3 linked regions of the Rattus norvegicus genome follow. The protein of the gene in region 1 purifies or fractionates together with the protein of each later gene. This does not show direct contact. Links are inferred from orthologs where the notes say so. Each region holds a gene or a part of one and is shown in the gene's direction. Other genes may lie near its edges. The genes, in order: Ankrd28, Ppp6r3 and Arhgef2.

Evidence for each region.
Region 2: the proteins of Ankrd28 (region 1) and Ppp6r3 purify together in Homo sapiens (co-immunoprecipitation; 3 studies listed by BioGRID and IntAct, with this or other methods). This does not show direct contact. The link is inferred for Rattus norvegicus from reciprocal best matches to the Homo sapiens genes ANKRD28 and PPP6R3.
Region 3: the proteins of Ankrd28 (region 1) and Arhgef2 purify together in Homo sapiens (affinity purification with mass spectrometry; 3 studies listed by BioGRID and IntAct, with this or other methods). This does not show direct contact. The link is inferred for Rattus norvegicus from reciprocal best matches to the Homo sapiens genes ANKRD28 and ARHGEF2.

What each region holds. Positions count from the first base shown.
Region 1 is NC_086034.1:7,050,432-7,061,060, reverse strand, and holds the start of Ankrd28 (ankyrin repeat domain 28), read left to right. Parts: upstream 1-4,467; 5' UTR 4,468-4,781; coding exon 4,782-4,808; intron 4,809-8,979; exon of another isoform or gene 8,980-10,629. UniProt on the Homo sapiens protein: Regulatory subunit of protein phosphatase 6 (PP6) that may be involved in the recognition of phosphoprotein substrates. Involved in the PP6-mediated dephosphorylation of NFKBIE opposing its degradation in response to TNF-alpha.
Region 2 is NC_086019.1:210,184,218-210,194,746, reverse strand, and holds part of Ppp6r3 (serine/threonine-protein phosphatase 6 regulatory subunit 3), read left to right. Parts: exon of another isoform or gene 1-893; intron 894-5,591; 5' UTR 5,592-5,597; coding exon 5,598-5,824; intron 5,825-6,574; coding exon 6,575-6,761; intron 6,762-9,750; coding exon 9,751-9,888; intron 9,889-10,529.
Region 3 is NC_086020.1:176,401,088-176,411,616, forward strand, and holds part of Arhgef2 (rho guanine nucleotide exchange factor 2), read left to right. Parts: intron 1-712; coding exon 713-963; intron 964-1,254; coding exon 1,255-1,380; intron 1,381-1,861; coding exon 1,862-1,979; intron 1,980-2,124; coding exon 2,125-2,373; intron 2,374-4,802; coding exon 4,803-4,879; intron 4,880-5,838; coding exon 5,839-6,008; intron 6,009-7,222; coding exon 7,223-7,290; intron 7,291-9,244; coding exon 9,245-9,445; intron 9,446-9,718; coding exon 9,719-9,832; intron 9,833-9,932; coding exon 9,933-10,000; intron 10,001-10,131; coding exon 10,132-10,167; intron 10,168-10,360; coding exon 10,361-10,411; intron 10,412-10,529. UniProt on the Homo sapiens protein: Activates Rho-GTPases by promoting the exchange of GDP for GTP.

The sequences.
Region 1 (10,629 bases):
AGGCATAACTCACTAATATTTATGGTTAGGGTTAGACTAATTATATACTTGGACTTTTTTCCATAACCAAACTAAATATTTGTCATGATGTTAATTTGCCCCCACCCTGCCCTATTCCAGGGTTCTCTGTCTCTTTTTCTCCATCACCTTGTTTTATTACTTAAGTTTTTAGATCATGTTTGTCCTTTATGGGTTTGGAAGTTACGTATTTTATTTCCTTAATTTCGGTATCTCCAAATGTTATACATTCATGTCAATAACAATTTATTATATTCAAGACTGACATACATTTTAAATATTCCTTCTATTGTAGGATAACTTCCTGGTTAAAAATCCTGCCTCCTTGGATTCAGCATTCAGAATTCTCATTTTCTGCTTCTCTTGCAGCTAGCATTAGGCCTATGGTACAGGTCTTGGAAACCAGACAGACTAGTGGAAATGTGAAAAATGAGTGTGCACAAGCTTTGCGCACAGCAACCATTTTGATCCATCAAAAGGTTAGGTTTCTGGCAGACAATTATCACTGATGTTGAAAGCAAAGGAAAATGAAGCTAAGTTGAGCTCTGGGTAAACTGGTTTTTTTAGACAGATAAACTAGTTTTTCAGTTATGGAGTCACAGTATGGTGTTTCAGAGACCTTTTTCCTCATCTGCAGTATTGCTGATATGTCTGCTGACAAGTGGACTGCCATTCCTTTTAGGTATGTCTGACTTCCTTCAGTGTGAAGTTTTACATCTTTGTATTCTGCTTGGTTTTCTAGACATTGCCTACTACCTACAGGCTTCATTTTTAAGTTTATTCCTATTGAGACTCCATTTCTTCTTTAATTCATGGTGTTCTTCGAGTCTGAAAAACTCTGGCATTATCTTTATGTGCATGACTGTCCATTCAGTCTCTACTTTCTGAACCCCTTTAGATAAACACCTGGCTCTTGTCATGTCTCCTGTGGCTCTGAACTCCCCTCTGCTGCTTTGACAGTCTATTATTTGCATCTTATTGATAGTTCTAATTCTTTAGAAAAATCATTTTATGCAGTAGGGATTATCTGGCTCAAAAGAACCCCTCACAGCTGTCTATTTCCTACCACAAAGGCTGCTTTTCTGGTTTTTAAGTGCATTATGCCATTAGGTCCTGCCAGGGTAAGGTGGGTGAACCTGAGCACAGTTAGCCCCTTTAGGTAGCAATATGGAAAGGCCAATGAAAATTACACTAGGTCAGGGATATAAGAAGACTTAAGTGCCTAACATGTAGTAGATTAGGAAATAAAACCTTGTGTGGTGCTTAGCTTTCAGTAACTTCTTTGGTGATCTTATCTGTGCTATTTATTTTGGACACAAGTTTTGATGGCGACTACATCAGTTCTCAGACTTGGCAGTAGTGAATGGCTAAGGCATGGGCAAATGGGTTTAACCACAGTCAGTCTTTATTTGAGTCTTCTTAGGACTTCTGACTCTTTTTATGAAAAGTACTTATTGAGTGAACAGGGCAGTTGGGAAGTATCAATGGTATACAGAAAAAGAGATACATGTAAGACTTGGGAGATGGCACAGCATGAGGACCCAAGTTTGGATTCCAAATCTTACTGTCCAGACAGTTTAGCCAAAACAGGGAGTTCCATGTTTAGTGACAGACATTGTTTGAAAAACAATAAGGCAGAAAGTGATTGAGGAAGACATTCTGTCGAGCCTCTACAAGGTTGCAAGGATACACACAAGCACACATTCACAAACTCACACAGAGGGAGGAGGACAAGGAGGAGGAAGAGGAAGAGAGAGAGATTTTATTGATATCATTTTAGTATTTAGTCCCATTGGTTATGTGTATGATGTAGGCAGAACTTTTCAGAAATATAGTTATCTTATTTATTAATTTATAACACGGTCTCCCTATGTAGCTTCCCGGTTAGCTTCCTTATTGGTTACTGTGATGTATGTAGTACATTTCAAGAACACAGATTTAGCTATCTATCCATCTATAAAAGGGTCTCATTATGTAGCCTCCTGGCCAGCCTATCTGTCTATTTATGACAGGTTATCACCATGTAGACTCCTGGACAGTTTGGAACTTGCTATATTGATCAGGATAGCTTCATCCTCATGGAGATCTACCTGCCTATTATTCCCAAGTGCTAGAACAAAAGGCATATGCTGCCACACCTGGCTGAGCTCTTTAAAATTTTAACAGATGCAAGAATAAGAATATCTTTTAATGTTAATGAAACTTGAACACAAATATTTTTCAATTTATTGCTTAATTATATAGAAGTTTTATTTCTATTTTTTTCCAGAAGCAATAGTTGCTACTATCTCAACAGCTATGAAAATACTGATATTGAATTTGAGTGGTCCTTAAGAATTCCCAGTTTTTCATATTATTATCTTGCTTGATTGTGTGATATGAGTAGGCTTGGTAATATTAAGCTTAACCTTTCTTTTTTAAAAAATAAACAGCGAGGGGTTGGGCATTTAGCTCAGGGGTAGAGCGCTTGCCTAGGAAGCGCAAGGCCCTGGGTTCGGTCCCCAGCTCCGAAAAAAAAAAAAAAAAAAAAAAACAGCGAGTAAGACATACAAGATGTTAAAGTATTCAAGACGGAGAAAGGTGAACCCACCAAGGACTGGAGCACCTTTGCAGCACGATCACACACTCTGTAGTGCAGAGATTGAATGCTGTAAAATACTTTCACCAGTTACTCTTCATTAGAAATTTTCATCACTTCAATCCTAATACACATTTGGTCCGCTATCTCAACCCATACCCTCAAAACCACTTGTATGTTCCCCAAGTCAGTCTGTGCTGTGTTCCTAATCAAGTACCTGTTGTGCTTTTAAATTGTAGAACTTTAACCCAGAGGAGAGCTTACTGAGGATGGGCGTTTGTTCAGTTGTATTAATTGCTGAGTCAACATTCAGTGTTAAACAGGCAAATACACAGAAGAGAGTAAATCTTTCATCCTCGAGGAAGGTAAAACTCTATTTGCTGTAGCACATGGACAATTATAATCACAAAATATTGTAGTAATGTCGTCACAGCACCTTTGTTTTGAAGAAGTCAAAAGCTTTCATACTGCTAACTCATTCACCTTCAATGCCCTGGTAGAGACATGGGAGTGACAGAAACCTCATCATTGGCCAGAGTTGATGCAGAAAGGAATAAATTTCTTTGAAGAAAATGCAAAGCAAGAATCTTTTTTTTTCCCTGACTAAGCCTCTTCCATCAGTTATGAGTATTCCTCCATTTTAAAGTAGCAAATACCATCCATGGTAAAAATGTAATTTTAGAAAAGGGATGTTTCAGCAGAATTATGGCATAGTTATGTTAAGAAATATTGGAAGGTTCTTACTGCATTTGATCTTGCACTTTGATATTTTCTTTTCTTGTGGGGCTAAAGAGTTGTTTTTAATAGCAGCATTATAATAAAGTGACAGTCCTGGCACAGATCCCCATTTTTCTAGACTGCCATTAGGCTCAAATCAGCTCAAATCAATTCTCTAAATTAAGTCTGTCCCAAGAGACACGCCAATGCAGGGAAAAGATGAGATTTGTTTTTGTTTTTTGTTTTTTTTAAACCAAGCCCGATATCTCACGTTTGTGTTCTAACCATCTGTACCTTTTATTAATCAGGGGCTGGAGCCGCCCAGGCTGACAGACACAGAACAACAATCCTCTCCCACACAAGCCTAGAATGGTAACAGTGTGCGGCTGCCTAAGAAAGAAAAGCCTTTTCTGAGCTGTGGGTTGGCGTGGGTGTGTGTGCCAGGGCGAGAGAGTCATTCCTCTTCTTCATCCAAGGATGCTATTTATTGGAAATCCTGCACATCTTTTTGAAAAAATTGATTTCTCTCGAGTGGGAGGCAAAACCCTTTGGATGATAAAGAAGAAAGGGGGAAAACACATGCAAGATTGAAAGGGGCGCTTTGGAGAGAAAAGCTCGGTGGTCCCAACCTGTTCAGGCTGTGAAGGCCACGCCCTTCAATCCCGCGTGCCAGCAGTCCCTCCCCAAACCCCACGTACACGTCTCTCCCAGAGCCGCGGAGGCATTCTCACTCTCGCTCCACGTGCGAGTCCGGTTCCCCGTTGCCCTCGCTATTCTGATGGAAGAAGCATCAGCTCCGAGGTCTCCCTCGCTCGCACCGGTTCCGGCTGCCTTCTCCGCACCTGACTGAGCTGAGCTTGTGCACGCCACCTCCACGTGCCATCCCCGGCCGTTACCCGGTACCCAGTTTCCGTCCCTCCCCACCTCCAGCCCCGGCTCCTCCCACCGCGCCCGGGGCGCGCGCTCAGAAACCCGGCCACCTGGCCCGCCCGCTCCGCGCGCCGCCGCTTCCTGTGCCCCGCCCCTCTCCCGGCGGGGAGGCGGGGCCTGGGCGCGAGCGAGCGCGGCGGCGTGGCCAATGGGCGCCGGGCTTACTCTGGCCTCTCCCCCGCGCGGCCGCCAATCGCGGCGGGCGGTGGTGGTAATATTGTGGAGTGGAGTTTGGATGCCGCCGCGGCCGCGGGCTGGAGCGGCGCGGCGGCGGGGGCTGCCAGGGTATTTCGGGAAGGGGGTGTGAGGCGGCGGCGAAGGCGGCGGCTGCGTGTGGGAGGTGGCTGAGAGGGAGAGGGAGAGAAAGGACGGAAGAAAGAGGGCGGGAGTCCTCGGTGGAGGAGGCGGGACCGGCGGGGCTCTTCGCGGCGGCGGCGGGCGGCCGGGGAGGCGGCGCCGCCCCCTGCCCGCGCTCTCTTCAACGTAGCCGGCCACCTACCCGCCGGGCGCGGGTAGTGGCGGAACGGAGGCGACCGCCATGGCGTTCCTCAAACTCCGCGACCAGGTAGGTGAGGGGCGGCAGGGCGGGATCGCGCCACCGAGGAACCGGAGGAGGGTGTACCCGCGGCGTGGGCCGCCCGGGTGCCCGCTCGGCTCGGTGGCAGCGAGGGAAGAGTGTCCCGGGCCGGGAGCGGTGCGGGCCGTCCGCCTGTCAGTGCAGCCCCAGCTCCGAGAAACCCACGTGCCGCCGGGGGATCGCGGCCCCGGCCACAGGGGCGGGTTCGGCGCTCGCCGCCCTCGCGTCCGGCGCGCTGCCGGGTAGGCGCCTCCTCTTTCCTGCCAGGTGAGGCTCGGGCCTAACAGGTGGCTTTGCGGTGCTGAGTAGGAGCGGTGCTGGCGGCGGCCGTGTCCCGGGGTCACGACCTTGCTCTCGGGTTCGCCGCGTGGGGTGGTTCACGGTCCACCGCACTGTCTCTGCGGAGAGGTGGTGGCGGAAGAAAGCAAACCCACCAGTCCGGATTGATTCTGCTGGAGTCTAGTTGTTACCGTGCATATCCCCAGACTCTTTCTCTTGGCATATTCTGCACCATCTTGGTTTAGTTTTCTTGACTTAGGAAGAGCTTGTCAAAGAACACCTGAAGTGCTCAAAAGACTGACACTTGTGGGCTGGGAAAAATAACACTGTATCTACCAATGAAATCGCAACTATGTCTGAATGAACGCTTGTTACCCTTAAAAAGGTGGGAAGGTGAATCATAAGACTTTCAGGAGATGCAGACGCTCCCCAGTGTTAAACGTCTCTCCTAAGGAAAAGGGAAATTAACCAGTGGAATTCACAGAGTCGTGGGAACCTATTAATGCTAAGTACCTATTTTGCCATTGTTTTTCTGAATAGGAGATACGGAACAGATTTGAAGGGAAAGTTACTTGCATGGATTGAGAAACCATTCAGAAAGAGGACACAGGCTTAACAAAAAGATAGGGGAAAACTTAATATGTTTTATATACTTTTCTACCAATTAAAACGTAAGTTCTGCATCTAGCTAATGTTAATTTCTCATTTCAAAAGCGAATATTCTATTTAAGCTGAATGCTGGCTTTATCGTATCATTTTAGCTGATATTAACAATAGTTTATGATACTTTGAAAAACTGGTTGATAAATTTGTATTTCAAATTATGTGAATAACTTTACTGTTCAGCATGTTACATCAGTTACGCACAGTGTCTTTAAGCTGATTACAATTAAAATATAGTTTCATAATTGTGCTAGTTGCTTTTCAAAAGTGCTAACTAGCTACAGGTCGCTCGGTTACTGTATTAAATACAGTAAAGCCTCTCATTGCACAAAGTTCTGTCAGGGAAAAAAAACCTGTTAATAACAAGCAGCGTTCAAGCCCAAATCATCTAATTCTTACATAGCTAATACCATAAAACTCAAGATCTAGATTTTCAACTAATCTTTATTACTGTAGTAACACTTTGTACCTGCATATTTGTTCTAATCCTTCCTTCAGTTTTGGAAATGTATTTTGTGATTTGGTCATTGTGTGTATTAGGGATTTGGTAGGCTATTTATAAAAACCATGAATAAAAAATAAAAATCCATTTGCATCTTTGCATTAGAGTAACTAGAGTTTTGAAGCAGTCATAACACTGACTCAGTTTTATATAATATTTGTTAATACCCAGTGGTGATATTGATCTTTAAAATGTCGCCTGTAAACTTGAGAATGCTTGACTAAGTTAATGAGATGGCCTCGCTGGGGAAGACTTACTGTACTACTGAAAAATTGGCTCATCTGGTTCTTTTGAAAGACAAAAGCTGAAGAGTCTGTTTTGTCTAATATAAAGGGAATTGCACCTTTTCTTTAGAATCAGTTTATGTATTGATATGTCAAAAGACATTGGAAATGATGATAGAAAGGGAGTGGGATGCAACAGTTTAATGTTTTCCATTTGTATGAAAAGCACATTAGCCGGACAAAGTCGTTTTTGGAGGAAGGGTGAGAAGATCTGGATATGTACACAGGATTTTAAACATGGAAGGTAGTTGATATCACTTTTAACCTTGCAAAGAATAATAAAAAGAAGCTAGACATGAATGAGTAAGGATTTTCTTCAACATTGAAGTCTGAGAATAGTTCTACGTAAAGATATAAAATCAGAGGTGAGAGATGATACTATCAGTAAAGAGCTCACATCTACAAAAGCATGAGAATCTGAGTTTGGTTCCCAAAAACTCCATAAAAAACCTGGGCATGGGTTTGGGGATTTAGCTCAGTGGTAGAGCACTTGCCTAGCAAGCACAAGGCCCTGGGTTCGGTCCCCAGCTCCGAAAAAAAAAAAGAAAAGAAAAAAAAAAAAAAAAACCTGGGCACAGTGGCACATGCTTGTAATCTCAGCGCTGGGGAGGTAGAGACAGGTAAATCCCTGGGCGTCTTAACCAGCCAGCCTAGTCTACTTACTTTTACTTGTGAAGAATGACACTGGAGATTGATTTCTGGCCTCCACTTGCACATGGGCACCCACAGGAACACAGACACATACATGAAAGATACACAGTGAAGACAGATATAAAATCATTAAGCAAATAAAGGAAATTGTCCTCATTCTGTAGTCAGAATATGACAGCATTTATTTTGTGGCAGCATGTAATTAAGGGGATAAGAAAGAATTATTGTATTACTTTCTGCCCATGAGTAGATGAAAATATTTTTTAAATTGTTAGTAAAATGAAACTTTGTTTTCTGTTGATAACAGTAGATGGGAACTTTTTTCCTGAATTACTTTAATTTGGCTTATATAACATTCATCCGTAACAGTGTTAGGATTTTTCTCTCCTGAGGTTATCACTGGCTATTTTTCTCCTTAGGTGATGAAAATTATTCATATATGGTTACATTTTAAATCATAAGCATTATGTTTTATTAAGGAAGGTTGCTGGTCTTTGTTTAGGTTTCCTATTTCAGAAGCTAAATAGCAACTGGCACTTGTATGTAGAAACTGATGGGGAGTGGTGGAGATCATGACCTTAGTGTCAGGCATGCTAGTCACTGCTCAGCCCTGAGCCTTTGTTGTGCAGGTGTGTCTAGTATTTCTGAAATTCTGTTTTCCTTTAGGATATCAGAAGTCCAGATTGTTAGGGAAAAATCTATTTATAGATGTTAGTATGTAACTACCAGTGACAACAGTAAATACTCAGGGTATAAAAGAGGACTAGTATGAAACTAGTGTGTAACGCTAATTCAGATGAGTTGGAGAAAAACTCCAAAAATGGTTCTCATATTAAACCGAGTGTTCTTTGACAACAAAGGACCACAGTGGTCATAAACCCCCAACCCCCTCCTCCCCAGTGTTTTGTGTGTGTGTGCATGTGTGCACGTGTGCATGTGTGCACGTGTGCATGTGTGCGTGTGTGCATGTGTGTTGTGTAGCCAGGGATTGGATCTAGGACTTCTTCCATGATAGGCAGGCACACCACCAACCTGGTCATAAACCTTTTTAAAAATTTAGAATTTGTATACCATAAGATTTACACTCTTAAAATAAGTGGGGTTGTTTTTTTTGTTTGTGGGTTTGTGTGTGTGTGTGTGTGTGTGTGTGTGTGTGTGTGTGTGTGTGTGTTTCACAAAACTGTAATCACCACTAACTCTAGAACATTTACCACTCCAAAAAACCACATGACCATTAGCAGTCATTTTCAGCTTTCTCTTGCTTTCTATGCCTGGTAATCAATATTCTACTTTTTATAAATTTACTTGTTCTGGATATTTAATTTAAATGGAATCATCTAGCATATGGCTCTTTATGTTTTTCATTTGATTCATTTTGCAAATACTTTGTAAATGTCTATTTACTTGTAAAGGTTTATTCATGTTGTATTAATCTGTTGGTCATAACTTTGTATGTCTTTGTATGTATAGGGTTCAAATCCAGGAACCAAGTGTCCATTATGCTAAGTAGACACTTGATCACTGAGCTACATTACTAACCCTCGTCATAAACTTTTGTAACATGCTTAAGAGTTTGCAAAAAAAAAAGTTTAAAAATACTTATACCATTTTATTTGTACCTGAAGTTTACTTAACATTAGTGTTGAATAGTGTTTTTCTGTTTTTTTTCAGAATTTGTTTATAACTGGAGTTAAATTTTGTTTGCAGTAATACTAAAGGGTAGTGGGTTTTAATATTAGATTTTAAATTTTTTCTACTTGTATTTGGTATGTAGGTTTCTTTCTTTTTAAAAAAGATTTATTCTTATATTTATGAGTACTGTTGCTGACTTCAGACACATCAGGAGAGGGCATCAGATCCCATTACAGATGGTTGTGAGCCACCATGTGGTTGCTGGGAATTGAACTCAGGACCTCTAGAAGAGCAGTCAGTGCTCTTAACCACTGAGCCATCTCTCCAGCCTGGTATGTAGGTTTCTTAAAATACTGTTTGTCCCCCATGTAAAAATTGGACCCCTATTAGGTACCTGATTATGAGATATAATTAAAAATATTATACAATACATAATGGTTAGGTCAGTGGTTGGTTTCAGCCCTGGCTATCCTAGAACTTGCTGTGTTGGCCTCAAACTCACAGAGATCTTCCTTTACAGACATCCCCTGAGTAAAGGAATGAAAGATGCGCATCACTATATACTTCAATGTTGGGTGGGGGCAGTTTGTGACAGGGTTTCTCTGTATCCCTGGCTATCCTAGAACCTGGTTTGTAGACCAGGGTGGCCCTGAACTGTGTGTGAACTGTGTGTGGTTACAATGGATGAATTTTTAAAGAATGGATTTAAAAATCTACATAAAAATTTATAGCAAACTTATTTTGTATGGTACAAGTTCTTGCTTGCTCAAGGATCTACTAAGAACTGAGCATGATTAGGGTTTTCTTGAGTAGGGGAAAAAGAAGAGATAATATTTGTGCAGTAGTTTGACTAAGAAGAACCCCTCGAGCTCAATAGATTTGAATACTTAGTTACCGGGGAGTGGAACTGTTTGAAAGTTACAGGGATTTGGAGGTGTGGTCTTGTTGGAATAGGTGTGGCCTTGGAGGATCTGTGTCACTGAGGGTAGGCTTTGACTTTGAAAAGCCCATGCCAGTTCCAATCAATCTTTCTGCCTGTGGATCAAGTTGTAGCTCTGAACTGCTACTCCAGTGGCACGCTCCCACCATGATGATCATGATTTCAGAGGTAAGCCTCTGAGATCGTAAGCACGCATCCAGTTAAATGCTTTCTTTTATATAGGAGTTGCCTTGGTCATGGTATCTCTTTTTCAGCAATAGAACAGTGACTAAAACTTTGAGATACCTTATAATTATGTTTACAAAATGCATGAAATGCTGAAGAACACTGATGCTCGTATGTTCAGGTACTCTGTATTAGAGTTCTCTTTGTTTTGTTAACAGGACAGAAGAAAGAGACACAATCTCTGCCCTTAAGGGTAATATTAGCTAAAAGAGGGGAAAGGCTACATAAGTACCCTTTATGTGAGTTACTTCAAGAGCAAAATGTATAAAGTTGAAGGAAAACAGATTATATTAAGTGAAATGTAATGGACAATTGAAAATTAAAAGCTCATTTTTATCAGTGGCTTTTGAATAACATGTCATTCATGTAATACCTATCATGTTCCGTAAAAGATGGTAACATGTTTCAGAATTCAGAAAGCATCAGATTATAGTCAGAAACTCTTGGGGAAAGTGAACTATTTTAGGTTCACCAAAAGTATATGTCAGTGTCAGAAACAAATAGTTGTGCTTGAAAATGTCAAGAGAAAAATGAGGTGGTAGGCCAGGAAAGAAGATGCTAGGATAACGAGGAGACAGTCTTGCTAAGTGTAGTTGTAAAGGATGGCCAAGGTAACAGTGACCGTGTTATGGT
Region 2 (10,529 bases), on another chromosome or scaffold:
ACTGTCAATGCTGACACACTGTGAAGTGAAGGGCTCGTGTCCTAGATTGCCTTCCAGAGCCAACCTATGTAGTATGAAACTAGTGTAACAATCTTAATGGATCTGTAATTAAAGCCTTGATCTGAGATGACTAGGCTTATTCAGGAGATAGGTTCGTTGGCTCTTTTGTGTGGATAGATAGCTGTTTTCACTATGGGACAAAGACCAGCAGAGGAGATTATCTGTGGGGTCAGGTAACCTGGTAACTTGCTTGCTTAAAATATCTAGTCCTTTCACGGGGGGAAAAACATTTTCAAACTTCTAGGTTCAATTTGTAAAAGAAGCCTAGGATTTTGTTAAAAGGAGGTACTTTGGTCTCTCACCAAGCACCTCACCTTGCTGGCCAGCCTTCCTAAGTGAGATTGAATTTCTTCTTATCCATAAGTAAGTGTCACTAAGCTAAACTGTGGATTTTAAATATGTTTCTGTGTCCTGTAAACACTTTGTTAGGTCCATGATGCTGCATACCTGTAACCCTAGCACTTTTCAGGAAGAGGCTTGAGGATCAGTTAGCTACATAAGTGACTGTATGAGATCCTGTCTCAATTCTGTTTTCTCCCCCATCCCCAATATTTTTTGGTTTGATTTTATTGTTAATTCTAACTCTAGTTTCATTGCAAATTTTAGCTTGTGTCGTTGGTCTTTAAGACAAGATCCCTTGCTATGTAGCTCAGGCTAGCCTCTAAAGCTTAGACTCTTTTGGCCTTGGCTTTCTAAGTGTTGTGATTATAGTTTCAGGCTACCATCCCTGGTTTTTGTTTTTGTTTTTGTTTTTTGAGGCAGGGTCCCTGATCAGCTGGAAATTTGCTCTACAGGTCAGCCTGGCCTCAAACTCAGAGCTCTGCCCACTAAAGGTATTTACCACCAAAACTGCATTTTACCTGAGGGAGGGTAACTGTTATTTTGTATCTAGTTTCATTTTTCTTCAAAGGGTACCAGCCCAGGGACAACCACTTTGCCAGTGCTGGTTGTGTCCACTCAGCTTGCTGTAGAATAGGTGCATACCATGCCTGCGCTTTGGTGTTGAGATAGTGACATGAGCATATGAAGAACATTCACTGTGAGTACATACTTCCATGTTCTGCTGTGTGCTGATGAAGGAATCAGTCATTTTACAATAAATGCTAAAAAATTCTCCTTTCTCTGTGTTAAATTTTATGTTTAAAATAGTTTGTATTTTAGATAAGTAATTCAAAACAGTTTTGGGTTAGGGGATTAGAAGGCTGGGCCAGTAGGAAGGCCATTATAACCCTGCTGGACACTGGGCATATTGTTTCGAGTGGATTGTAATAGCCTGGGCAAGGATTAGGTCTCCAGGTAGTTTCCTACCATTGTGTCAATTTGAGCCTCAAGACCTCTTTTGTTTTTACTTATATAAGCTTTTAGGGCCATTCTGGCCATTAACAAAGCTAAATGTAAAGGGGGAAGGGATGTGTGTAGGTCTTCTGACTAATGACACAGCATAGTTGAGTTTCTCATCTACCCAATACCTACCTGTGTATGCAGCAGGATACCATCCTATGCCTGGGAGCCAGGAGGGCCGAGCAAGCTAGCTGCAGGGCAGATTGGGGCCCTGGGATAGATAGATACCTGGATGGGTTCAGGAGATATTAGAATACAGATGTCAGGAGGAACTTCTTCTTATAGGTTGGAGGACACTGGACTTTCTGTGAATGACCAGATATAGATGATCTCTATCACATTCCTTGTTCCACTTCCCCTTCCCTCAAACCTAACTCTATTAAAAAATGTCAAAACCATTCTTAATTGGCAGGTGGTGGGTTGGATTGGGTTGGGTGTGTTCGCTAACCCACCCGGTTCTTACTTTATTGTAACTAATCAGTCTTTTTCTTTTCTTCTTTTGTTTTAATCACTCTTTTTCTAAATCCCATATTTGCTGCATTTCCCGACTAAGACTATGGTTTGGGCGGTTTTACTTGGTGTGGGTAAATCTACTTGATTCATAATGTAAGAGTGGTAACTTCATTTGCAGCCATCTGTATGTAGCCTGTGTACTCTTGAGTTCTTCCTTTGATAGGCAGCCCAGGAGGACCTTGAATCTTTTGTCCTATAACACTGGAGTAGTGAAGCTGTAAAAAAGCACTTTAAAAAAGTTTGTGGTTTTTAAAGGATTTACAAATAAATGAACTGTAGTTACTTTAGTAGAAAATTTAAGATAATACTGATGGTGTGACTTTGTACCCCTAAACAAGAACAGTCTCTCCCCTTTCTCTTTAGGAATATAAAAAAGAAAAACCCCCATTGTTCCCCCCTCCTTTTTAAAAATTAATTTATTTTCATGTAAATTGGTGTTTTGCTTTCATGTATGCCTGTGTGAGGGTGTCTGATCCCCTAGAACTGTAGTCACAGATAGTTTGTGAGCTCCTGTGTAGGTGCTGGGAAATGAACCCAGATCCTCTGGAAGAGTAGCCAATGCTCTTAATGGCTGAGCCGTCTATCGTCTCCCCTTTCCCCTTTCATATTATCTTATGGTACTGTTTGTGCTTATTGACTGATTAGGATAAAATGACATGGGTTTTCTTTTTGTTTTGACCATTTTCCCCAAATCTGAAAACCAAAGCAGTATATATATATTTCTTAAGGTTTCCCTGTATTGGCTTTTTCTGGACTGCTTTTCTGTTACTTGTTGCCATTTTTGCAATGACTTCCCAGTCAGAACTAGTTTAGCATTGTATTTAAATCAGGCAGCTGCTTAAATACCTTCTGCTGACTGCTAGAGAGCTTCTGCAGGTCCATTCCTGCACCCTGTTAGAGCCGGGGAAGGTCACTTGCTTGTGTGCTTGTTGCATCTGTGTTGGGAGCTGCATTTATCTAGCTTGTTGTCATAATGTGTGCATAGGGAAAGGCTGTGCTTCTCTGGGGGCCTCTGCCTTGTTTCCTCCCGGTGGAGCTGTGTTGTTTGCTTCCCCACCCCTCATGTATCCTTTTCAAGTGAGGAGTGTGAATTTGGGTCATGTGAACCGAGCAGCTGCTGTTTGTCCTTCCTTGGCTCTTAGTCTTCTTGCAGCTCAAGATTGTGAGCAGATTTGCCAGTGTCCTTGAGAGCATGTAAAGGTGTTATAAACTGACTTTGGTGATAGTTGACACTTAGCAGTATTGCTTTATGAAACTGTTCCCTAAGGTTTCTTGAACTTTTCTTAATGAGGTTGCTTGTTGGAGAGTCAGGCTCAGCACCTGCCATGTGAAGGGGACGCTCCTTGGAACAACCCACTGTGCACAGTCTGCTTTTCAGCTCTCATTTTTGGGTCAGTCAGTCACTTTGACTAGGAGCATGAGTAAAGTTTGCCTCTGTAATTCCTCTATATTTATTTTATTACTTGTTTGTGTTTTTTTTCCCAGACAGGGTTCCTCTGTCTAACCCTGACTGTCATGAGAATTCACTCTGTAGACCAAGTTGGTCTCAAACTGAGATCCACTCATCTCTGCCTCCTTAGCGCTAGGATCACTAAGTGCCATCACCCTTTCCTAAATTTTCTACTTTAAGAAAGTGATTTTGAGAACATCAAGTATGGGTGATTTAGCAAAACATACAGGTATAAAGGTAGGTCCGCTTTACATAGGTAGGACCTTTCCTTTTGCTTGTAAAAACATGTAGATATTGGTGAGCTTTTCTGGTGGTAGTCCTTCCAGGATGCACTTGACTGGGTGGGTGGCTAAGCTGTAGCTGATGGAGAGCTTTTGTTTGAGCACATGGTAGCCTTGTGCCTCAACTCTCAAGGAAGTCTCTGACCCCTTCAGAGGCTAGCATACCTGGACTGATTGGTTCTGTTGCTGCAGAGACCTGGTGCTGGATGGCTGCATCTTGTTATTACCTTCTGGTTAGAAGTGGCCTGTGAGACCTCTTCCACATTCCATACGTAACAAACGAATGCCTTTTTGGCTCTGTGACTTGAAGAACAAGCATTTCATGGTTGTAGGCATGGAGACCAAGTTGAGGAAAGACTATAGTATTGTTGGGGGTTGACTGTCAGCTGTTTCTCTTAGTGACTTAGGATAGTAAGTTTGTCTTAATTCTTGAAGTTGTAAAGTTTAGTTCTTTTCTGGTACTCTATGACTTTTAGCTATTAGTGAAGTCACCTGCAGCTTTACAGTGATATTCCTCTGTTATAAGGGAAGTCACCTGCAGCTTTACAGTGGTATTCCTCTGTTATAAGGGAAGCTCTGGCTATGCCTCTTCATTCTCATTTGTTGTTGAAGATGGCAATTCTCTGAAGAATCTATTCTTCATCCTTCAAAAAAAAAAAAAAAAAGAGTTGCCGTGATTCTTTTTTTTTTTCCCCCTTTTCTTTTTTTTTTTTTTTTCGGAGCTGGGGACCGAACCCAGGACCTTGCGCTTGCTAGGCAAGCGCTCTACCACTGAGCTAAATCCCCAACCCCAAGTTGCTGTCATTCTTGATCTTTATCTGTCTCTGTCTGTTTCTCAGTCTCCCTGCCTGCCTGCTTTCTCCTCTTCCCTCTCCCCCTCCCCCTCCAGTTTTTCTCTTTTAGACCAGACTAGACTTGAACATGCAGTAATTTTCTTGCTTTAGCCCTCCAAGTGGTAGAATTTGAGGTATGAAATATTTTTGCTTAAAATTTTTTTTTAAATTAATGGGCAACATGCTTGTAGAGGTCAGAAGACAACTTGGAAAATCTAGCTCGTTCCACCCTGGAGTTTGGTGATCGAATTCTAGTGTTCAGACTTGTCAGCAAGCTCCTTTTCCTGCTGAGCCATGATATCCTCCTTCAGCATTCTTTTTGTTTGTTTTGTTTTTTTGAGACAGGGCGTCTGTATAGAATCCTGGTGATGACTATGTAGACCAGGCTGTCCTCAAATACACAGAGATCCTCTCAAATCTTTCTCTAGAATGATGGGATTAAAGATGCAGGCCACTGTGTCTAGCCAGCATAAAAATTCTTAAAGTATGAATGAATTACTTCTTTTCCTCTTACTTTTATTGACGGGGGAGGGTGGGGGATGACAGATTCTTGCTGTGTGGCTCAGGCTGGCCAAGAACTTGTGATCATCCTGTCTCACTCTTGAAAATTTAAGAGTTTTGGGTATGTGCCAGGCTGACTTGGATGAAATGCTTTTACAGGTTAAAATCATTCCAAACTTTTGTATTCAGCATTTTCAACATTTTAGCCAACTGAAAATATTTTCTGGGATGGAGTGATAGCATCTAATTTCGATTCCCAGCCCCATTTGTGGCTTACAAATATCTGTTAACTCCAGTCCTAGAGAATCTACCAGCCTCTTCTGGCTTCCAGGACCATTCCGTGCAGGTCATGCACATATAAATAAAAGTGAATAAAGTTTTTAAAAAGTCTAAAAAGAAAGCCAATAAATAAATTCTTTAAAATTTTTTTCTAAGAAAGAAAAAAATCCTACTAGTGTTATTCATTAAATCATTTTGCAAGTTAAGTGTGAAACTGCTTTATTTTTGTGTCAATGCCAAGTTGGCATTGTAGATCAAAATTGAACTGAAATTTGGTTTGTGGAAAATTAGTAAAGCCTGAATTTTATGAAAATCTTTCTTTGTCTCGTTTAGAACAGCATGTTTTGGAAATTTGATCTTCACTCATCATCCCACATAGACACGCTTCTAGAGAGAGAAGATGTAACACTGAAGGAGCTAATGGACGAGGAGGACGTTTTACAGGAATGTAAAGCACAGAACCGAAAGCTCATAGAGTTTCTGTTAAAAGCAGAATGTCTGGAAGACTTAGTCTCATTCATTATAGAAGAGCCACCTCAAGACATGGATGAAAAGATCCGATACAAGTAAGAAAATGACGTCTTTGCCTTAGGGTGGGGTAGAAAATGATTATTTGATGTTTAAGAATTCCCTAGAGCCACTATGAACTATGGACAAGATGGTCAAGAGCTACACAGTTATGGAGCACACAATTGATTCTAGAGCCAACAACAGTGAGTCACAAGCATCTAAAATGTTCTGAATCTTCTCCAGACGTACAACATGCTTTATAATAGACAAACTTCTCATATTAGTTAGACATTCAAGTAAGTGTCTTCTCTACTTTCCAGATAGGAAGCCAGAAGTCTATGACGGGCCAAGATTGTCTAAAGGTTTAGTCACATCATTGCTCAGATAGTAAGGTCAGCCCTTCCTCGCATGAGTTTTAGGTGTGAGTTGCGTGGGTCTTGGTGAATAGCGGTGAAGCTATATTTAAGTAGGAAATGACATAATAAAACAGAGTGGGTTGTAAGCCATGTGGTTGCTGGAACTTGAACTCAGGACCTCTGGAAGAGCATCCATTGCTCTTAACCTCTGAGTCATCTCTCTAGCCCAGAAACAAATTCTTACAAACAATTGATTTAAAGGCAATTTTTTAGACAAAGTAGAAAATGTCTTTTAACTTAGAGGTTGGATGAAATGGATTGAAGGTGCTCTTAATTCATTGTATATGGTTTTGATGACTTGATAGAATTTTAGGAGACCTTCCTGGTGTATGCTATACTTAATGTGATAAAGTTTCCACTAGATGATAATGTAATGTCCTGTTCTTCTAGGTATCCAAATATATCTTGTGAGTTGCTCACATCTGATGTCTCCCAGATGAATGATAGACTGGGGGAAGATGAGTCCTTGCTAATGAAATTATATAGCTTCCTCCTAAATGAGTCCCCCTTGAACCCACTACTTGCCAGTTTCTTCAGCAAGGTGCTAAGTATTCTTATCAGCAGAAAACCAGAACAGGTAAATACTGTTTCCAAAGGTAAGTATCTGGGCTGTGCATCCCCAAGGTGACACCAGAAACTTTGTTGCAGTGTTCTGAGCATGCTTGAAGTCCATTTTCAACAAGAGAGTGTGTTTTAGGTCTTCATCAGTTTGAGCAACCCTGGTTTACACATTAAGGAATATTTCTTCTTTGACATACTCTTTGATAGGCTCTAGCTCTGTTTGTTAGCATACTTTGATTTCTTCTCTGAACTCGTAATCAAAAGCATCTTTTTGAGAGTAGCAGGCTGAATCTGGGTGTGTATCTAATGACCTTTTGGATTTAACAGTTGGCTTTGCTTAGTTGTTTCCAAATGATGATCTTGAGAGAAGGTAGAATCAGGTATTCCCGAAAGTGAAGCTGACTAGTGCTTTGTACACAGTGGTAATTTATTTTAGCTTAGCTGGATACCCTTGCATCCCAGCAGTTCCTAGTGTATTGCACTGGATAGAGGCACACACCTCAATATTCTTACAGCTACCACCCCTTGACCTCTGCTTTCCCCACTAATTCAGATTTATGTGGAAATGCCACTTTCCAAGGAGTGTCACTTGGTGAAGTGTGACCTTTGGATCAGTGTCACCAGTATCACCTGAGAACTCTTTTTTTAAGCACTGCAAGTTGATTCCTCCCCCTGCTCTGCAGGGGTCTTGACAGTGAGGGGTTTAGTGCATTTTTCAGCTCACAATGTTGCTTGCTGGAATCAGAGAAAACATCGCTCTAGTGGATATTGATGTGAAAGGGTGCTCACTTCCAAGAAATAGCTAGAGCAGCAGATGCTGAGTGCAAGCCGACAGATTATCAGATGCAGCAGGCAGAGGTGAACATGGTCAAGCCAGTCAGACCTGGTGTTGTTCATGGTAGACAATAGTCCCCAGTTACTTGGTCTTATTCTGTGGTCGGCTGAAACTATTTTGGGCCCATTATGTTCTGTTCTCTGTTAAGGCTGGGCCCATGTTTTATTTCAGAAGGATGATGTTCTTTTTGTTCAGATAAGATTTTTATTTGAATAAGACAACTTTCCCAAGTGTGTTGGAGGAAGATAATTTGCCTTGAGTCACAGTAGTCACAGTCCCCAAGTCATGGTGTCAGTAGTGTAGATTGTCTCCCATTCTGCCCTCCACATAGAAATCAAAGTATCATTGGCAATTGCAAGCCATCACATACCTTGGCATAGTTAGTTTAGAGATGGCTACCTCCATTAGTAAGGCAGGCTTCAGTATGTTTTTATCCTTACATCTGCTGTCGAGACCCAGGCTGATGAGCTATGATTTCTGCAGCGTATAAGATAAACCATGAAAATATGTGGGAGACTTTCTGAGTCTCTCTGTTACTGACACCAGAGTTCAGAGCCAGTTTTATGATCTGTCTTGACAATGATGATATATGTCAGTTGAACCCTAAATGAAGAGTCCTGTCACCTTGTTTGTGTAGCTAGGATTCCTTGGAAGATGAGAGTACAGGAGTGTTGCTTGTATAGCTGCTTTTGTCTTTTGACAAAAACTTGTTTCCCGTTGTTTGGTAGTGTTGGTTAGGACTTAGGCACTGCCAGTGATGACAAAAGTCCACAGTCACATGGCTTAATTAGAAAGGTACTATTCAGCCTCTAGAAGAGGGTATCCAACTGTTGGCAGTGTTGAGTGGTTTAGTCTTCCAATGAAATCTAAAGTATAAATAGGCCTCGTGGTCCATGCTGCAGTGTCCATAGCACCAGCTAAGGTTTGTGCCTGTAGGCCCTAGAACCAGTATTTCTGCCATGAAATTGTGGGGAAGTTTGGCCATGTGTGACTTTTTCCTCCTCTCACCCTTCCTTTCAAAGACTTCTGTAGGAATCAGCTGTGAATGGCATGGCTGCCACTCCTTGAAGAAGTGCATCTATTTTACATCGTTGTCTACACAAACAGTACACTGACTCACTTTGAAGCTACTTGGCGGGTGTAGTTCTAGCTGTTCTGGCTGTTGGTCTTCTTTGTGCAGCTTGGTAGAAGTCCTGTGACTTTCATAGCGTGCAGATCTGAGTTTAACTCCCAGGACAGTTTCCTTTTAGTTGTAGGAGATACTAGCATGTCTGAGCTAGGATTTCTCATCTAGAACAGTGAATCTTCACCTTCCAGGGCTTAGTGAAAATTTGTGGCAAACTTTCCTACCACCTTGTGAAGCTCTCCCAGTATGTGTGGTAGGGTTTTAGCAGATGCTGTGGGCTCTGGGCTCACAGACACAAATAAGACATAGGAAGCTGTGTAGGACAGAGCATCATTTCCATTCCTAGTTCTTTCCCACTCAGCACAGCCCCCTTTTCCCAACCTCCTCTTGTTGGTCACATATGCACGAGTGCAGCCTAAGTCACCTCGTGTTAGAAACATCTTTGCTTTGAATCTCCCTTCATTTTTAATATTACACATTTTGATTTTAAGTCTAATAAGATTGTCTCATAAAATAGTGCATATTTTTTAAACGTTTGTTTTATTTTCTGTATATGGGTGCTTTGCCTACATGTATGTGTACTATGTATATATGTCTGGTGCCTACAGAGGCCAGAAGAGGGTGTTGAATCTCCTGGAACTGGAGTCATAGTTGGTTTTGAGCCACCACTTGGGTGCTGGGAATTGAACCTGGGTCTTCTAGAAGAAGTGCTCTTAATTGCTGAACCATCTCCAGCCCCAAATAGAATGTTCTTTAGCTGTTTGCAGTGTTGTGGGACTTTTTAATACATGTTCTTAGAGAATGAACAATGAAAATAAACAGAAGGCTAAGGTTCAGGCAGCTTTATTTGTAATGGGGACGCATGTTGGTTTAAGAGATCATGTTATTTAAGGGTTTTGAATATTGCAATTGTTAGCCAAATTCACCATGTACTTGCTGTAACGGCCTGTTCTTAAGCTAACTGGCAGGATTTGATGAATATTGGTCACTCTAGATTGTATGTCTCAAGTTATGCATCTTTCAGTTTGATTTGTTTTCCTCTAGATTGTGGATTTCTTGAAAAAGAAGCGTGATTTTGTGGATCTCATTATAAAGCACATAGGAACTTCTGCTATCATGGATTTGTTGCTCAGGCTCTTGACATGTATTGAGCCTCCACAGCCCAGGCAAGATGTTCTGAATGTGAGTAGAGATTTGAACGGCTGGGAGTGCAGTTATGTGGGCTCCTGGACTACTCCTGTGTGCTGGGGGAATCCTACAGGATAAGGGGTTCTGGGAATGAAGCAAGGAGGTGGTTGTCTCAAAACAGAAAAGATTCAGATTTTAATTTTATTTTATTTCTTTGGGACTGGTCTCTCATTGTGACCCTGACTGTTTTGGAACTCACTCTATAGACTGGGCTCCTCTCAAACTCAGAGATAAGGCTCTATGCCTCCCAAGTGCTAAAATTAAAAACATGTGCAACCACACCCAGCTGACATTCAGACTTTGTAGAACTAGGACTCAGAATGCTTAGTTCCCTAGATGTGTTATTTGCCCTTTGCTGGTTGGTTTGTTACATTGACGATGAGTAAGTTGAGGATTTATCCTAAAGCTGCGTCTAGAATAAGCAGGACAAGACTTTCTAAGAGTGTGCCTCCTGTGGGAGGGTCAAACGGGAAGAATGGGGATACATGAAAAGGGCCCGCTTATAAGTTCAGTTACAATTTTAGGATATGTCCAGCTTGAATAGATAGACCTCTTACATGAAACTGGACTCAAGGGAGATTTGAATAATCTGTATATAAGGCTTTCCTTGGGTGTTTGCCTTCTGGAACCATACC
Region 3 (10,529 bases), on another chromosome or scaffold:
GGGACACCCTCATCTCATCCTTGACCTCCATGTACCCAGCTGGCACCAGCTTGTCCCTGTGCACCTACTTCTTGGTGCTGTTGGGATTTTTTTATTTTCTATTTAAGAGATAAGAGTCTCACCATGGAGGCCAGGCTGTTCTCAAACTCTCCATCCTCCTGCCTCAGCCCCCAGAGTTCTGAGATTATGAGTACGTACTACCGTACCCAGCTTCCAAGGCCCCACTTATATTTCTTCTTCAACTCAGTCCTCAGTCTTCATTCTGCCTCCCCCATGCCCAACACTGTGCCAGGAACTGGGAAACCTACACCCCTAATACACAGGACTCTTGCTCTAAAATAGTCTACTGCTTGAAGTGCTTGGAGACTGTGTTATGTTTTATTTATAGTTTAATTCCATGATGATCAGAGAACATATTCTGTGTGATTTTAATTTCTCTTTCTTACATTTTTTTACCCCGAGACAGTGTCTGTCTTTTTTTTTTTTCTTTCTTTTTTTCGGAGCTGGGGACCGAACCCAGGGCCTTGCGCTTGCTAGGCAAGTGCTCTACCACTGAGCTAAATCCCCAACCCCTAGTCTACTGCTTGAAATGACAAGGAAGTGGTCTGAGTTGACAGCGGCACAAGCATTAATTTGGAAGAGATTCTCTAGGGCCCCATGAGTTGTGCCTGAGGTAGAGTACAGAGGGGACCCATGTTCCTTTGTCTCGCAGAGCTGATCCAGACCGAGCTGCACCATGTGAGAACCTTGAAGATTATGACCCGCCTCTTCCGCACTGGGATGCTGGAAGAGTTGCAGATGGAGCCAGAAGTGGTCCAGGGACTGTTCCCCTGTGTGGACGAGCTTAGTGACATTCACACACGTTTCCTTAGTCAGCTTTTGGAACGGCGGCGCCAGGCCCTGTGTCCAGGCAGCACCCGGAACTTTGTCATCCATCGTTTGGGTGACTTGCTCATCAGCCAGGTAGGAGAAGACACACGTGAACCTGTCTGTGAATGCACAGTTCTGGGAGTTGGTTCTTTCCCCTCATGCGAGGTTTGAATTCAGGTTGTCAGAAGTGCTTTTACTTGCTGAGCCATCTTGCTGGCCAAGGAGTAAACAGTTCTTACCTCCAAGCAAACTCTGGTGGCCAGAAGGAAGCAAAGCAGGGAACAGCTGGAGAGGAGGAAGCTAACAGAAGGCCAGGGGTGTGCTGAGGGCTGCGGTGCGGCTCTGTAGGAAGTGCTGACCTAGTCTTGCTCTCCTGGCTTCCAGTTCTCAGGTTCCAACGCTGAGCAGATGCGCAAGACTTACTCAGAGTTCTGCAGCCGCCACACCAAGGCCTTAAAGCTCTATAAGGAGCTGTACGCTCGAGACAAACGCTTCCAACAGTTCATCCGGGTGAGCAAGCTTCTCCAAGCCCAAGTCCAAGCCCAGCCTTCTCATGGCTCAAACCCAAACTCTCCCAGGGTAGCATATGGGAGCTGTGTCCTCATAGAGGGCAGTCCCTCAACACCCTTGTGAACTGTGCCCCTAGATATCTTTCATTTGTCGAGACATGGTCTCTCTGTGCTGCCCTGGCTGTCATGAAACTCACTGTGTAGATGCGGCTGGCCTAAAACCTCAGAGATCTATCTCCCTTCCTGTACTGCTATTAAAGGCATCTCTTAAATCAACAGTCACCCCTTACTGGGCAAGAGGATGTTGGTCTAGTTTTCATGCCATCATTGGTTTGCTTGTCACCACAGACCTGTGACATTCTGTTACTCATTTCCGAGAAGCTGTCTGCCTAGACCAACATGGGGCGGATACCAGGGTGGGCCAGCCTCAGAGCCTGGACTCCAGTCTTTCTGTCCCCTTAGTCTTTCATCTTCCGTTACAGAAAATGACCCGCTCTGCTGTGCTGAAGCGGCATGGGGTTCAGGAGTGCATTCTCCTGGTAACTCAGCGGATTACCAAATACCCAGTGCTCATCAACAGGATCCTGCAGAATTCCCATGGTGAGGAAGAGCATGGGGGCAGGGCCTGCCTGGGGACATCCAGGGGAAGAAGCAGGATTGGTGGGGAGCAGTGAGCAGGCTCAGGTAGAGTTGGGTTGGAGTGGTACTGGTTAAACTATCTCTCACTCTGGACATCTGGTACCAGGGATTGAAGAGGAGTACCAAGACTTGGCAGCAGCCCTAGGGCTAGTAAAGGAGTTGTTGTCCAATGTGGACCAGGATGTACACGAGCTGGAGAAAGAGGCCCGCCTTCAGGAGATTTACAACCGAATGGATCCTCGGGCTCAGACCCCTGTTCCTGGCAAGGGCCCCTTCGGCCGAGATGAACTTTTGCGGAGAAAACTTATCCATGATGGCTGCCTGCTCTGGAAGACAGCCACAGGCCGCTTTAAAGGTCAGTGGTCCTATTCTGTATGAGTTGCAGCCACCTTTTTTTTAAAGTACACAGTAGTAGCTGTCTTCAGACACACCAGAAGAGGGCATCAGATTGCATTACAGATGGTTGTGAGCCCACCATGTGGTTGCTGGGATTTGAACTCAGGACCTCTGGAAGAGCAGTCAGTGCTCTTAACCACTGAGCCATCTCTCCAGTCCCCATAGGGACTATTTTTACAGCCTTTCACCAAGGGTGAGAATCAGAGGGAAACCTAGTGCTGAAGAGGCACAAACTTCGGCCAGAATCGCAACAGAAATGCATCTAGGAGACCCAGAGTGAGAATTGAACACTGGGGAAGGACTGAGAGGCTGAAGAATGGAGATGGGACTACAGGGCAGTGTTGGGGTGGGGGTGGGGATGGGAGTGTCAGGGTGCACTATCCCAGGCTCACCTTTTAGAATTTATCTACAGTTAAAATCCTTGCCCCTAAATCAGGACAAGAAAATAACACCCCTAAACCTCGGTTTTAGAGGTGAAGGGTGGGGGGTACCCGAAGCCAGAGCCCATACACAATCACATCTATGCTGTGAAATTCCTACCCCTAGGGCTTGCGTCCTGTTAGTCCTTACTAGGCTCTCTCCTCCATCCCTCTCTCTCCTTCCCATCCCTCCCACGCCGCAGCTAAGAATACCCAGCATTGAGGGGTAAAAATAGCAAGGCTGGAGAGCTCTGTTTCTGAGTGATTAGCGAAAGCCCTCCCCTCCTGTGTCCACGCTTTAGTAAGAATCCCCACAGGCAAAGGGTGACTGTGTGTTCCTAACTGTGCCATTCAGGTCTCAAAGAATTGGTCTTTGGTTCCTCCCTTCCTCTGCGTACAGGAGCCATGACAGTCTGAAAGCCTGGAGGGTGGGGCAGGAGAAAGAAACTGAAGCAGGGCTGGCTGGGGTTAGAGGACATGAGATCAGTCACAGGTCATGGGTGAGGGGTGGCCTTCAGTCTGCTCTCCTGGAAGGAAACTTACTTTGTCCCTCTCTTTGGCAAAAAGTAAGAGACAGGAATATGTCAGTGTATTAGAACACCTAAAAAGGTGCTTGCATTAGATGTCAGACACAACTTAAAGGCAAAGAGCACAACCTGTCTTGTTCTGGGAATCCTGTGACTTAGAAATATCTTGGATTAAGCAAGTCCTTGCTTGTACTTGCTTGTAGTTCAGCTATCCGAGAGCTGAGGCAGGAGGATCACTTGAACCTGTATGTTAATGTGTAAGTGTTTGTGTAACAGCAGCCGGTTTACAGAGTTTCTGAAGCAAGCATGGCTACTCTGGTGGGGGGGGGGCTGAAGACCCTAGGTTAAGAAGCATGAGTCGGGCTGGAGAGATGGCTCAGTGGTTAGAGCTGTTTTTGCAGAGGATCTGGGTTCAGTTCTCAGCGCCCACACTGCAGCTTACAATTTACAACTGTGTAACTTGAGTTCCAGGGGATCCAGCGCCCTCTTCCAGCGTCTGTGGGGATTACATGCATGTGACACACACGCAGGCAAAAACACACATACAAAATAAACTTCAAAGAATCAGAATTGGGTGACTTAGATTTTTTTGTTATTGTTGGTTTTATTTATTAATTGGGTGTTTTTTATTTTTGCTTTTTCTTTCTTTTTTATTTTTTACTTATTCTTTTCAGACAATATCTTGCTGGCAGGCCTAGAACTTGATTTGTAAACCAGGCTGACAAACTTTTAGAGATCTGCCCGCCTTTTCCCCGTGAGTGCTGGAACCACCACACCTGACTAAAACTGGCCGATTTAAAAAAAAAGGGGGGGGGTTGGGGATTTAGCTCAGCGGTAGAGCACTTGCCCAGCGAGTGCAAGGCCCTGGGTTCGGTCCCCAGCTCCGAAAAAAAAGAAAAAAGAAAAAAAAAATTCTGAGGCAAGAGTTCCTTTGTGTTGGCATCGGCAACTTGTCCCCTCTATTTCTTCTTTTTTTTTTTTTTTCTGGAACTGGGGACCGAACCCAGGGCCTTGTGCTTGCTAGGCAAGCGCTCTACCACTGAGCTAAATCCCCAACCCCTGTCCCCTCTATTTCCATGTTGTACGATTGAGGAGGTTGAACCAGGCAGTGGTGGCCACACTTGGGAGGCAGAGGCAGGCGATCTCTGAGTTAGAGGCCAGCCTGATCTACAGAGTGAGTTCTAGGACAGCCAGGGCTACACAGAGAAACCTTGTCTTGAAATATTGAAGGAAAAACAAAAGAATGGTGAGGTTGGGGTTGGGGATTTAGCCAGCTCTGGGGAAAAAAAATGGTGAGGTTGGAGGTCAGAGGTCAGAAAAGATGAAGCAATTGCGGGGGTTGGGGGGAACCCAGTGGGGGTGTGCCTGGTCCTCGGAGAGGGGGCAAACAGTTGCTTTGAGCCTTCAGTGCTGACCATTTTCCCACTTTGTGTCTTGGCCAGATGTCCTCTTACTACTGATGACAGATGTGCTGGTGTTTCTCCAGGAAAAGGACCAGAAGTACATTTTCACGTCCCTGGTGAGCCTTCCTCTGTTCTCTCATCCATTTTCTTACCCAGCCCAAGAAAGTCTTGCTGAGTCCAATCCCTATCTATGTAAAAAAAAAAGTGAGGAGGTTGGGTATTTAGCTCAGTGGTAGAGAGCGCTTGCTAGCAAGCACAAGGCCCTGGGTTCAGTCCTCAGCTCTGGGAAAAAAAGAGAGAGAAGAAAAAAGAAGAAACGTGAGATAGCCGCCAGGTCCCGCTGCTGTGCTCGGGCAGGTTTGCCCCGTCAGGGAAGCTGTCATTAACTTCGTTTTGTGGATGACGAAGGTAAAGTTTAGTGCCTGGCGGTCCATGCCTGTAATGTCAGCTCTTGGGAGTTAGCGACAGGAGGATCAGGAGTGCAGGGTCATGAACCACACGGTGAGTTCAAAGTCCAGCCTAGACGACATGAGACCCCCCACATCTAAAAAATAACTAAATAAGTAAGTAAATTTACCATTGGAACAGTAGAGTAGACCTTTCACCCCACCCTTGGGAGGCAGAGATAGGTAGATCTCTGAGTTTAAGCCAGCCTTGTCTACATAGCAAGTTCCAAGCCCATCAGGGTCATAGAGTGAGACCTTATCTCAAAAACAGCAACTACAGCAAAAGTAAAGCAGGCACAAGCCCCAGTGCTGGGAGAGCAGAGGCCCAAGGGTCACAACGTTGAGGCTGTTCGGGGCCACATAGTGAGTTCAACCCCAGTTTAGGTTACATAGTGAGACCCAGAAGAGAGGGGGCGGGGAAGAAGGGAGGAAGGGAAGAAGTTGGAGGGAAGGAGGGACAGAGAATGTATCAAGGGACCCACACGCACATCTAAATTGTCCTGGCTGGTACTGATGCCTAGGGTTTTGGTTATGTATCACCATGTTCAATCCTTTTGGTATTCTAGAACTGAAACCCAGATATTAAGGGTTAGGGTGCCTTGGCTGAATTCTTCCCTTTTCCCCGACAGGACAAGCCCTCAGTGGTATCCTTGCAGAATCTCATCGTAAGAGACATTGCCAACCAGGCGAAAGGGATGTTTCTGATCAGTTCTGGCCCACCTGAAATGTATGAAGTACACGCAGCATCTCGAGATGACCGTACTACCTGGATCCGTGTCATCCAGCAGAGCGTGCGCTTGTGAGTGTGTGCCTGCGTGTACATACGGCTTCCAGTCCTAGGTGGAATACTTCCGGGGACTTAACTCATCATGAGAGGTTGGGGCAGAAGCTGGGAATAGACAAGATGAGTCAAGATAAGAGAAATCACATGAAAAGTTGTAATTTATATCCAGATAACCCAGCTATCCCTCCAAAGCACTCTGAACTGACAACGGTTTGTGTAGAGCTCTTTGGTGGTGGCAGACTTGCCAGCCAGTGACATAGTGCCAGCCTCATACATCACTGGCAGTAGGAAGAAGGCTCTAGTTTTTTTTTTTTTTAAGATTTATTCATTTATTACATATAAGTACACTGTCACTGTCTTCAGACACACCAGAAGAGGGCATCAGATCTCTTTACAGATGGTTGTGAGCCACCATGTGGTTGCTGGGAATTGAACTCAGAACCTCTGGAAGAGTAGTCGGGTACTCTTAACCGCTGAGCCATCTCTCCAGCCCTTACCTCTACTTTCTAAAAATGAAAGAATGGGGGTGATTGAAGCATTGATGTTAGTGAATTGAACACGTTTTATCCAAAATGTTGAGGACAGCCTGGTGTGGCATTAACACCTATATTCCCAATGCCTGGGAAGTGGAGGCAGAAGGATTCAGAGTTAAAGGCCAACCTTAATGCATGAGGAGCTCAGGACCAGCTTGGGCTGAGGCCCTGTCTTAAAAACTACAATAGGCCCAGCAGTGGTAGTGCACACCTTTAATTTCAGCACTGGGGAGGCAGAGGCAAGTGGATCTCTTGCGTTCGAAGCCAGCCTGGTCTACAGAGTGAGTTCCAGGATAGTCAGGACTACAGGAGAAACCCTGTCCAAAAACCCAAACCAAACCAAACCAAACCAAAACCCAACACACAGTTAGTGCTGTAGCTCAATTGTTAGAGTGCTTGTCTAGCATTCTGGAAGCCCTGGGCCCCTCCCCCAGCACCACATACATCAATGCTGCAACCCACAGAGAGTCAGAAGTTGGCAACAATAACAAAAGTTGACAAAATGGCTCTCCCGATGATGCGACCAGAGCTAGAGGTGGATGCAGGCTTTTTATATCCTTTGTAAGCCTGAGTTAGAGAGATGAGGATTGGTGCCAAGAGGGACTAAAGCCACGGTATGAGAGGAGGGTCATGTGCAAAGGAGAGAACGCTGACTGTTAGTGTCTCCCACAAACCAACCTGCCTGTCGCTCTGCAGATGCCCGTCGAGGGAGGACTTCCCTCTGATCGAGACAGAGGATAAGGCGTACCTCCGGAGGATCAAGAGTAAGTTCCCTCCAGGGAGTGGGCTGATCTATACCGTATCCACACAAAATACCATGCTGCTCTCAGAAAGGCTGGCTCAAAAAGGGACTGGAGAGATGACTCACAGGTTGAAAGCAATGGTTTCTCCATCGGAGGGCTCAGGTTTGATTCTCACCAGCCTGGTGACTCCCAATCGTTTAACTCCAGTGCAGTGGATCTCTGATGCCCTGGGCCACCTCATTCACAGGCACATGCATGATGAACATACCTATGAGCAGGCAAAACTCACACAGAATAAAATGATCTCAGGGAAAGTGAAAGCTTCATGTGAGCTGAGAGTCTGTCCAAAATAAACATGAAAAAGAGCTGGGTTTAAAACAATGTGAAGTGTATTGGGGTGTGTGTGTGTGTGTGTGTGTGTGCGCGCGCGCGCGTGTTGGTATATGTAAAATAGACTACTATCTCTCTGTCCCAAGGGCATCTAGTGTCCCCTTGTGGCCTCTGAGGGCACTGCCTGCACATGGTGCACAGATGTACACAGTATATAGACATATATGTGGGCAGAACACCCATATGATTAAAAATAAAGGTTACTGCTGGGCTTGGTGGCCCACGATTTTAATCCCAGCACTTGGGAGGCAGAGGTAGAATGATCTCTGTGAGTTCAAGGCTAAAATGATCTGTAAATCTAGTTTTAGGACAGCCAGGGCTATTCACATAGAGAAACCCTATCTCGGAAAACAAACGAAAGTGAAGAAAAAAAAGGTTAAATTTGTCCTGTAATGAGAGCTGTGGGGGTGCACACTGGTCATCCCAGCATTTGGGATCCATAGTGGTAGGATCAGGCATTCAAGTCTGCCCTAGTTCCTTTTATATTGTGGTGATAAAACCCCATGACCAAAGAAAGCCACTCAGAGAAGGAAGGGTTTCTTTTGGGCTTACAGTTCCAGAGGGTTAGGGTTCATAATGGTGGGAACAGCGGGTGGCGGACGTGACCACTGGACCAGCTGAGAAAGGTTGAGTTCTTTGAGACCCCAAAGCCTGCCCCCAGTTACTTCCTCCAGCAAGGCTCCACCTCCTAATCCTCCCCACACAGCTACCCACTAGGTACCAAGTATTCAAATGCCTGATGAAAACATCTCATTCAAAATACCACAGAGGATAGCCTCAACTATATAAGGAGTTTGAGGCCAGCCTCAGCTACACAAGACTTTGTCTCAAAAACAAAAACAAAACAGTCCAAATGCCGTGTCTAACTGCAAGTTACTCTGCTCTCTGAGTGAGCACTCTACAAGTATTCTTTTTTTTTTTTTGAGAGATAATTATTTATTATATATAAGTACACTGTAGCTGTCTTCAGACACCAGAAGAGGGCATCAGATCGCATTACAGAGGGTTGTAAGCCACCATGTGGTTGTTGGGATTTGAACTCAGGACCTCGTCAGTGCTCTTAACCACTGAGCCATCTCTGCAGCCCTCTACAAGTATTCTAATTGAAGGAAATGAAGAAGATGAGATGGTCAACCTGAACCCTTATTCACAGATATTTAAGATGCATGCATTTACTATTATTTTACCTGTATTGGTGCTTTGCCTGCATGTGTGTTTTCCAGATCCCCTGGAAGTGGAGCTATAGACACTTGTGAGTTGCTCTTTGGTTGCTGGGAACTGAACCCAGGTTCTCTGGAAGAACAGCCGGTGCTCTTAACCACTGAGCCAAAACTCCAGTCCCTATTCATAGATTTTTATAAACAAAAGTAATGGTGATTTATACCACACATGCGATTTTTTGGTTTTGGGAATGCTCCAGGCCAAGAATTAAGTTCTGACCCTCTGCTGACCCTGAGCTACCCCTCTGCTGACCCTGGGTTACCCCTCTGCTGACCCTGGGCTACCCCTCTGCTGTCCCTGGCCTGCCCTCCACAGGCTCTTTGGGTCCTTGGTCCTTCCACACTTAACCTGTTCCTATCCACAGCGAAACTGCAGCAGAAAAACCAGGCGCTGGTGGAGCTGCTACAGATGAATGTTGAGCTATTTGCTGAGATGGTCCACTTCCAGGCATTAAAAGCTGGTTTCATCGGAATGCCCCCGCCCACCCTGCCCAGGGGCCTTTTCCGTCTTGAGTCCTTTGAGTCCCTTCGAGGCGAGCGTCTGCTCAAAGATGCCCTCCGTGAAGGTGAGGCCACTGAAGAGCCTAGGCTGTTCACTCAACACCACAACCCATGGGGGGGTTTGGGTTTGTCCTGGTCTAATTCCTGGGAAGGAAAGGGGAAGAGATCTGAGCTTGCTGTTGGAGGCCTCTCCCTCAGGCAGGCTGTGCTGCCACTGTGCATCTTTGATGTCTCTTGGATGCCACATGGCCAACTGAAACCCCACTACCCAAATGATGTGTGTTGGGTGGATCCCCACTGGGTTTTGTCTCCTGTCCCCTCCATTTCTTTTCCTGCAGTGGAAGGCCTGAAAGACCTGTTGTTGGGCCCTTGTGTGGACCTGCCTTTGACAGCCCGAGAACCAGCCTTACCCGTAGAAGCTGACAGTGGTAGCTGTCCTGGGGTCACTGCCAGTGAGTACAGGGCATGAAAGCAAGATGGGAGTGACTTAATAAGGGAGGAGGGGCCCCAGGTACAAGTATATTCTGCTCCTCCTTCTCTTCTCTGCCACAGACGGAGAGGCCAGAACCTTCAATGGCTCCATTGAGCTCTGTAGAGCAGACTCAGATTCCAGCCAGAAGGTGGGTTCTTGGAGAGCCAGGGAGTGGCCAGAGAAAGGGCACAGCTGGCCTATGGATCTTCAGTAGACAGCTGCTGAGGAAGGTTCCCAGGTCTGTGCCCGCTGACTTCCCATTCTTGTTCATTTCTGTAGGATCGGAATGGAAATCAGTTGAGGTCACCACAGGAGGTGAGATGGGAATTCTGTGGTAGAGGAGATAGATGAAAGCCACTATCTGAGAAATCATAACCCAGTTTGGGTGGGGGGAGAATCTATACTCTTAAGTCTGTCTCTAGACACCATTTCCACACCCTCCTGATAACCTCCAGTACTTACCCTTCCTGAAGCCTGGGTACTATTTCACCCTCTTCTCTGTCCTCAGGAGGCGTTACAACCATTGGTCAATCTGTATGGACTCCTACAAGGCCTGCAGGTCAGTGAGCCAGGGCTGGAGTGGGGAAGAAAGGGAGGAGCTACCCAAAGGTGTCCATGCCGATGACAGTCCTCCTAACAGGCTTAAGTGCTCCCCCAAGCCAAGCTCTCTGGGTCCC